2 linked regions of the Canis lupus familiaris genome follow. The protein of the gene in region 1 purifies or fractionates together with the protein of each later gene. This does not show direct contact. Links are inferred from orthologs where the notes say so. Each region holds a gene or a part of one and is shown on either strand. Other genes may lie near its edges.

What was found. The genes of interacting proteins can lie anywhere in the genome.
Region 2: the proteins of TRERF1 (region 1) and DNTTIP1 purify together in Homo sapiens (affinity purification with mass spectrometry; 3 studies listed by BioGRID and IntAct, with this or other methods). This does not show direct contact. The link is inferred for Canis lupus familiaris from reciprocal best matches to the Homo sapiens genes TRERF1 and DNTTIP1.

The regions. Positions count from the first base shown.
Region 1 is NC_049233.1:11,232,688-11,236,801, forward strand, and holds the start of TRERF1 (transcriptional-regulating factor 1), read right to left. Parts: upstream 2,859-4,114; 5' UTR 2,679-2,858; intron 2,384-2,678; exon of another isoform or gene 2,265-2,383; intron 2,175-2,264; exon of another isoform or gene 2,040-2,174; intron 2,034-2,039; exon of another isoform or gene 1,832-2,033; intron 1,755-1,831; exon of another isoform or gene 1,677-1,754; intron 1,410-1,676; 5' UTR 1,328-1,409; intron 1-1,327.
Region 2 is NC_049245.1:33,724,931-33,729,064, reverse strand, and holds the start of DNTTIP1 (deoxynucleotidyltransferase terminal-interacting protein 1), read right to left. Parts: upstream 2,865-4,134; 5' UTR 2,827-2,864; coding exon 2,722-2,826; intron 2,141-2,721; coding exon 2,070-2,140; intron 1,196-2,069; coding exon 1,099-1,195; intron 1-1,098. UniProt on the Homo sapiens protein: Increases DNTT terminal deoxynucleotidyltransferase activity (in vitro). Also acts as a transcriptional regulator, binding to the consensus sequence 5'-GNTGCATG-3' following an AT-tract.

The sequences.
Region 1 (4,114 bases):
GTAACATGTAGGGAGATCTTTTTTTAAAACCCACTTTTTCCCCTGCTAGAGTTGAGCCTGTCTACAGAACTGCACAAAGCTTAACCAACTTTAGTTAACCACACACCTAGCATTTACTCCCTGACCCTACTAAACATGTCCGGGTTTGGGTCCCTGGTGCCAAAATTATCCTGGCAAAGTTAAAAGTCTCGGCATAATCAAGGTACCTGGCAGTCAAAACCTACCAACTCATGTGCAGAAACCAGCAGGAAAAGAGAGGCAAGGAGAAGCAAAGACTGCTGGTTAACTGGTTAAGTGTGGAGGGCTGCTTGTTATTCTTACAGTGGGCATCAAAACCACATTTTCCATCACCAGATTGCTTTCCTGAAAGGGTAAATGATGCAGAAGGTTGTACCAACTGGGACAACTTAAAACTCATTCCTTAAAGCTCTCCTCCATGGCCTGCTAAAAAAGTGAAGCCAGCCGGCCTTTGGGAGGCTTTTTTTTTTTTTAAAACAACTCTTCAGACACCCCTGGCTTCATCATTCCTAAGCATCACCTCCATGTAGTTCACAAGACAGGCCAGGCCATGCTGTTAGCAACCCGCTCAACACTTCACTTGCCAAAGCCCTGTCTAGTCTGGGGCAGAGTTTCCACAAAGCTGGCTCTAACAGACCAGCCGAAGGCACACGGAAGAACCAGAAGTCATTTTCTCTAACCTAAGGATGGCAGGCGCACATGCTCCAACCCAGCGCTGGCCAGAGGCTGCCCGCCAGGTGCTTTCGGCCTCCGCCAGTGAATGGGTGGTTTTGTGTTATTCTTAAATATCTATTTCTTCAGCCCACCAGCAGTAACTTCCCAGTCTACCAAACTGAAGTTAGAGAGTGAAGGGGCAGGCTCTCCCCCTTATACATTTCTCTTATCTGGGTGGCCACTGTAGCTTGGGGGAGTATCCAGCCCCCAAGGAGCCTACAGGCGCATATACATACATATATGCATCATGTCAAAAACCCAAAAGGCACATCCCTAGGGTTCTGCGGTTTCTTGGCTGGAAGAATGAAGGCTTTATAACATCACAACCTTCAATTGCAAACCCCAACACCACCATCGTTTAAGCCGGGGCTGCCAATTATAGCGCCCATCTCAGCCCTCCCCCCTTTGCCGGGATGCTGGACAGCCCGCAGAGGGACAAGAGAAGAAGGGAAGCAAAAAGAAGGCCCTGCTAACAGACTGAAAGTAAAGAAGTGGGGGGGGGGGCTTTCCCCTTCCCCTCCCCCGTCTTCTCACGGAGCATCCCCCAACTAATTTTTTTTTTTTTTTAATGAAACTTAATAAGCTTCTTGCCTACCTTGGCTGTTTCTGCAACAAGTGCATGGGCAATCCGACAAGACCAGACTCCGCTTGGGGGGTGAGCTGGGGGGCGAGCAGAGCTGATGGAGTAATTTCAATATTAATTTATGTCAGAGCCGCCTTCACGAAGCGCTACTCACTTACAGTACTGCCCTCAGCCTGTAAACAAATATCGCTCCGCCAGGAAACATACTCCCCAGATGCAAGCCCCTTCCCCAGCAGGGAACAGGGCCCTGCGCCGCCCCCACCCCACCCCCAACAGCATGCTCCCCCACCCCGGGGAGGAAGCTCCGGGTTTCCAAAGCACCAACCCACCACCTCCGCCACCACCCCAGCAAGAAACTTACTCGGTCCGTCTACGCCTCCACCCTCCCTTCAGGAAATCTACTCTCCATATGCATTCAGCCTCCCCGCAGGAAATCTGCTCCCCCCTCCCCCCTTCTATATACATGCACCCCTCCCTCTCCTCCTCCCCACGCGCCCTCCCCAACCAGAAACTTACTAGCGTGCAAGCGTGCAGGCTCTCCCGATCCTGGAAACTTACTCCCAGCTATAGCGCCCGCCAGCCCCCTTTCCCGGCCCTGCTCCCCTTCCTGCCCTCCGCGGCAAGCAACTCCAAACTCTCCGCATCCAGCCACTCTCCCTCCCCGGTGGAAATTTGCAGCGCGGGGCCGCGCGCGTGCATCCACCCTCCCCTTCAGGAAACTTACTCCCCATCTGCATGCACCGCCTCTCAGCCATCGCTTAGAGGGAAGGGGGTGTGCTAGGGAGACAGAAATACATATGTATCTCTCGCCCCTCCCCCGGCCGCAGCCCACTCGGGGCCGAGCAGCGGTAACCTGGCCTTACCTTTTGCATTGCTCCCCACCCTCGCCCCCTCCCTTAACCCTCCTTATCCGCTCCCCGGCGCCCCCCTTTTTTCACCCATTACCCACCCCTAGCAACCGTTCCCAAGCTCCTCTCGGCCTTTTTTTTTTAAATCCAGGATGCAAATTCCTCCCCTGTCAGCAAATCGACTGTCAAATTATTTTCTTGCAAAAGGAGAAAGGCGGGGTGGGGGGGGGGAGCAGAAGCAAAAAGGGGGGGGAGGGCGGGGGAAGGGAGAGAGGGACAGAGGAGGGGAGAGATATCCCTCCGCAGAGCTGGGTCTGGCCGCGGGCGGGGAAGCAGGAAGTAAGGTGTCCAGCGCCGCGGCCGCCGGGTCCTCCGCCCCGGCCCCCACCCGCGCCCCCTGTCCCCCCGGGCGCCGCGCTCAGGCGGGCGCGGGCAGCCTGGCGCATTGTTCGCCGCCTCCCCGGCGATGCGCTGCCGACCTTATTTGTGTGCTCTGCTTGTGCGTGAGGTCGCACCTTTTGTAGGCTTGGCGAGACTCTGGACGAGGATGGGGCGGGGGACGCGGACCGAGTGGCGGCCCCGCGGGGGACCTGTCAGCCCCCGGGGTGTGGCGGACTCTCCGGCGTGACCGGAAAATCGAGGCCCGGGAGACGGCGGCGTGGCCGGGAAGCTGCCGCCTTAGACCCGGACCAGTGCAGGATTGCTTCCTGCGTAGCCGTCCCGGTTATTGTAACGAGCTTTGCAATTTAACGACTGGGGTTGGGGGGCTTTATTTATTTTGCTAAGGGGTTGCAAAGACGCCAAGGTCTCGGTGGAGTGCGGAGAGGCGGCCTGCGCCTCCCCCCTCCGCACCCGGGCTCGGCGGGGCTGGGAGAGGGGCTGGGGCTCCCGGGAAGGGGCTGGAGGCTCGCGAAGCGCGCGGCTCCATCCCTCCGCCCCGATGGGGGCGGGGAGGGGGCGCTGCAGACGGCGCAGCGAACGCAGCTCTCTGGGGAGGGGGCTCCATCTCCGCGGCGCTGCAGGCCGGGGAGGGAGGTTGCCTAGGAGAGGAGCCGGGCCGAGAGGGGAGGGCGGGGAGGGGGCGCGGGTGCCGCGGCGGCGCGCGCTCGCCCCTCCTCGCGCGCCATGACTGTGGAACGTGGTGCCGGGGAGGAGGGACGGCCGCCGGGGGCCGCCCGGGGCTGCGCGGCATTGGTGCGGAAACCCGAGCCCGGAGTCGCTCCTCGCGCTGTCTCCTCCTCCTCCTCTGCGGGGGAAACCGCTGCACCCAAACCGAGAGCAGCTGCGAGCAGGGGGCAGGGCGCGGGCTGAAAGGCGAGCCGAGGGTTCAAACCTCGGCGGCGCCGGGGGGGGCGAGGGCCGGACGGGCCCCGGGGCCCCGCGGAGGCGCGGCCGCCCGTCGGTGCAGCGCGGGGCCGCGGCCTTCGCCGGCGTCTCTCCCGGCCGCGGGGAATGGGAGCCAAAGCGGCCCGGCCGCACCGACCACCTCGAGCCGGCCCGGGGCACCTCGCTCACGAGGGGCCCGCCGGACAGCGAGTAGTTGCAGCTCAAGGGAAAGTTAAACCATGCTTTTTTTTTTTTTTTTTTTTTTCCTTTTTCCTTTTCCCCAGCGTGGGGGAGGTCGTTTCGTCCCTTCCCCCAGCTCTGGCGCGAGACCAACGAGGTGCTCCCCTCCCCACACCTTCACCGCTGTCCCCCACCCCCACCCCCACTCGGGCGCTGGGTGGGGACAGGGCGGGGGAAGGCTATATGGGAGCTTAAAGCATGAGGTCATGGGCGGAGGAGGCTGCTGCCAGGAGCGGCCGAGGTTGGTGTCTTTTGAGGGGTAACGGTTTCGGCAGTGTTAAGTTCTCCCGCCTCACCCTACCGATTCCGGGGCGCCTGAGCCAGGGGGCCCCCGAAACAAGAGGGGGCTCTGGGCCGTTTCGCTCAGTGAGCGTTTGGCCGGTGC
Region 2 (4,134 bases), on another chromosome or scaffold:
AAAAATGTTTAGATAAAAAAAAAAAAAGTTTAGATCCAGTGCTCTGCCCAAAAGTCTAAAAGGGCCTCTATTTTACTCAGAGTAAACCCCAATATCCTTACCATGGCCTCAAAGGTTCTGCATGAACTGGGCCCCTATTTTCTTTGATTACCTCTCCTTATTCTCCTCCTGGCTCAGTCTGCTCTAGCCACACTGGAGACTTTTTTTTTTTTTAAAGATTTTATGTATTCATTCATTAGAGAGAGAGAGAGAGAGGCAGAGACACAGGCAGAGGGAGAAGCAGGCTCCACACAGGGAGCCTGACATGGGACTTGATCCCAGGTCTCCAGGATCCCACCCTGGGCTGAAGGTGGCACTAAACCGCTGAGCCACTGGGGCTGCCCGAGACTTTGTTGCTTTGAGTGTCCAAGCACACTCCTGCCTCAGGGTGTCTGCTCTTGTTCCCTCTGCCTGGGGTGTTTTCCCCTGATGTGTCCACACAGCTTGTTTTTCTCTCCCTTTATTCAGGTGTCTGCTCACATGTGGCTTTCCTGGACACAATCTATGAAACAGCACTACTGTTCCCCACTGGTTACTCTCTCCCCCTTCTCTCTGGCATTTCCTAGCATAGTACTTATTTGTTTAAAGAGGGCAGAGACACTGTTCATTTTGTTTGCTGCTGCATCCTCAGTGCCTGCTATAATGGTGGGTGCTCAGTACATGCTTCTTGAATGAATAAACAAACATAAGAGGAAGAGGTTTAGGAAGAAAGAGTTCAGCTCTGGACATGCTGTTTCAAGCATCTAGGGGACAATCAGGTAGAGTCATGTGGAAGTTTATTTATAGGCCTAGAAAGGAATTTTAAATAATAATAATGTTGATCCTGTTAAACAAATAAGAAAGACACTTGTTTGTAACATGGTGCAGAGCACATTAAACTTAAATTATTTTATCCTCATAATAGCTTGGCGAAAGAGGTATTCAAATTACCTCTAAAGAGGGCGAAAAAAGTTCTCAGGGATTCAGAATTGGAAAACCTGACTCATCTGTTTGTACCAAAAAGAGCGAGGGGGATTGTAATGTAGGAAAGGTCTGCCCTTGCATCTCTGTACCTCTCACCTTCATATACTTGTTGAAGACCGTCTGGATCTCCTCGTTGATGCTAGGCTGCAGGACAGCTCGAAGGAGGTCCATGGAAATGGCAGGATCTGTGAAACTGCATTCAGGAGGGAGACACAGTCAGGGGTCATGTCCCAAACATATCTTTCCTAGTCTGCCCAGCCAATTATTGACACAGGCTCCTTTAATAACAGTAATAGCTTCTATTGAAAACAAGCTATGTGCCCAGGTTCTGTGCAAATGAAACATATGTATGGCTTTATTCCATTTTCATAAGAACCCTACAAAATAAGTATTATTTTTTAAAGTGTTTTATGAAATACAAAGTCTATACACTTTTTTTTTTTTTTCATTTTAACAAATAGTTTTAGTGAACATCCACTTAATCACTACTCAGGTCAAGAAATTTAATCAGGATCCCATGGGTCCATTGTGCTCTCTCCCTTCACTGAGATAAATACTACTATTAGCCTCACTTCTTTCTTTAAAAAAATAAAAAAAAAGATTTTATTTATTCATGAGACACACATAGAAAGAGGCAGACACAGGCAGAAGGAGAAGCAGGCTCCATGCAGGGAGCCCGATGCAGGACTCCATCCCTGGACTGAGAGCATGCCCTGAGCTGAAGACAGACGCTCAACCACTGTGCCACCCAGGTGCCCCAGCCCCACTTTTTTCTAAACCTCTATGCTATTTTGCCTCTTTAGAGCCCTCAACCACAGAGCGAGTGAGTGTTAGGATCTTAGGCACTGCTGAATTCATGATTCCTCCTATTTTGTACAAGAGTTCAGAGGTGGCAATGATTCAACCAAGGTCACATCCAGAGTGACAAAAGCCGAGTCTCCTTTTTCCTAGTCCATTGCTCCTTCTAACAGCTGCTGATCTCTCTTCAGCTCTGTGTAGTGGGGACCCCAAGGGTGCCATCCAAGCCAATCAATGCCGGGGAGGTCAATACTCAGGCCCAGCCTTACCTTGTTGTCATCTGTGAGCGGCGGCCCCTTCGCTGCACCTGCCTGTGCTTTATCATTATGTTCCAAGGGTTCTGTGGGGACCAAGGGAACAGATGTCACCGAGGCTTGTGACACTAGGGTACAGGTGGACGGTGAGTATGAAGTTAAACGTGGACACCTCTGCTTCTCAGGTACTGTCAGCATCTCTCCCACCCTCGGGTAGGCGGGAGGGCAGCGGTTGAAAGGTCCTGCCGGGGTGGAGGAACTGAAGTTTCCTGCCTGGAAAAGTCCCAACCCCACCCTTTCTGGGATGGGAGAGGGAAGGGAACCAGTGTTTACCGAGGGACCACTCTGGGGCTGCTAGCGTGCTGGGCGCTCTGCTCGCCTTTACACCCCATCCCCGTAACAACTTTACGAGGCAGGCACCAATCCTCTCCATTTTACAGAAGAGGAAACTGGAGCTCAGAGGTGACAGGACCGGCTCACATCGCCTAGCCTGGAGGGCGGCACCAGAATTTGAATCCGGGTGGTCGGACTGCGAAAACGCCACCGCCCTGGGCAGCACCAGCCGCCGCGTTCTCTCGCCCGCGGGCCAGGGTCCCGGGAGCCCGAGGCCCAGCCGGCCCGAGCCCAGCCCCAGCCCCGGCCCCGGCCTTCCCGGGGGCGCCCTCACCGTGAGTACCAGCTGCCCCGCTGCGCCCGCGTCGCCCAGCTCGGAGCCGCCCCGCTCTGCCCCGCCGGGTCCCCGCGGCTGCTCGGCGTCGCCAGTGGCCCCCATGGCTCCTCCGGCGCCCCCCAACCTCAGCCCGACTCTGCCACCGGCCGGAAAGTGGCCCTGTGACGTCATTGGAGGGCGCCGCGAGCCGGCCCGGAAGCGCGACGCGGCGAGCCGCGGGGTTTCCATGGGAACCGCAAGGCCGCGTCCCGCTGGGGCCCGGAAGCAGGCAGGCGCTGTGAGCCGCGCGGCGGGGGCTTCTTCTGCGGCCCGGCCGGCTCCTCGGGTGCGGACTGTGGGTATTTGGCCCGGGAGCGCTCCCCGCTGGGCCAAGGCGGGTGGAGAAGTGCGGGGCAGGAAGGACGAGAGCGGGCTCTCGGGGCTGGAGCTTAGGTGCGGAGGGGAGCACAGCGGGGCCCACAGTTCAGTCTTTGAAAGCCGTAGAGTGCGCCTAATGCGGGGACCCGAAAATTCAAGAGGGGGTCTGGCCCATGCCCTTCCAAACACCCACCGGGTCCCTCGAGGCCTAGGCTCCAGGGGATGCCTCTTGCATCTAAAGGCATCATAATGAAGGTTGGGTCTTGGCCCGTGGACTCTCCCAAGCCCCAGCGACCTGGGCTTCTCTCTCCAGGAAGGTGATCCTGGGATGGGCGGGGATGCAGAGGTTTAACAGCTATGGAGTTTCGCAAAGCTCCCCTTAGCTCTGGCTTAGAGGTAGGATGTCCGTAAATAGAACTGGATCGATTTACGGGTAGTAGAGAAAGTTCCTTTTCCAAGGTCACAATGTGGAATAGTAAAACGTACATGAGTTTTTATTTGTATTTTGTTTATTCATGAGAGACTGAGAGAGGCAGAGACATAGGCAGAGGGAGAAGCAGGCTCCCTGGAGGGAGCCCGATGAGGGACTCCATCCCTGGACTGGGATCAGGACCTGAGTCAGAGGCAGACGCTCAACCGCTGAGCCACCCAGGCGCCCCAGTACCTGAGTTTTTAATGTAGAAAGATATGAGTTCAAATCCAGCATGATATGGTGATTAAGAATATTGACTATGGAATTGGTCTGCCTGCCTTTGGTCTACCACCCTCTGTGTGATCCAGGTTTCTTTCTGTGCCTCAGTTTCCCTATCTGTAGAGTGGGGACAATGGTACCTAACTAATAGGGTTGCACTTAAGGATTAAGTGAGCTAATTCATGTGAAGAACTCTGGCACAGGTAAACCCCCAAGCAATGCTATCTGTCACTGCTATTATTAAATTCCAGTAACCACCATTTACTAGCTTTATGACGTTGGTCATTCTTTCTCAACCCCTCTGAACCAGTTTTCTTACCTCTGCAAGATTATTGTGAGGATTAAAATAGATAATACATATA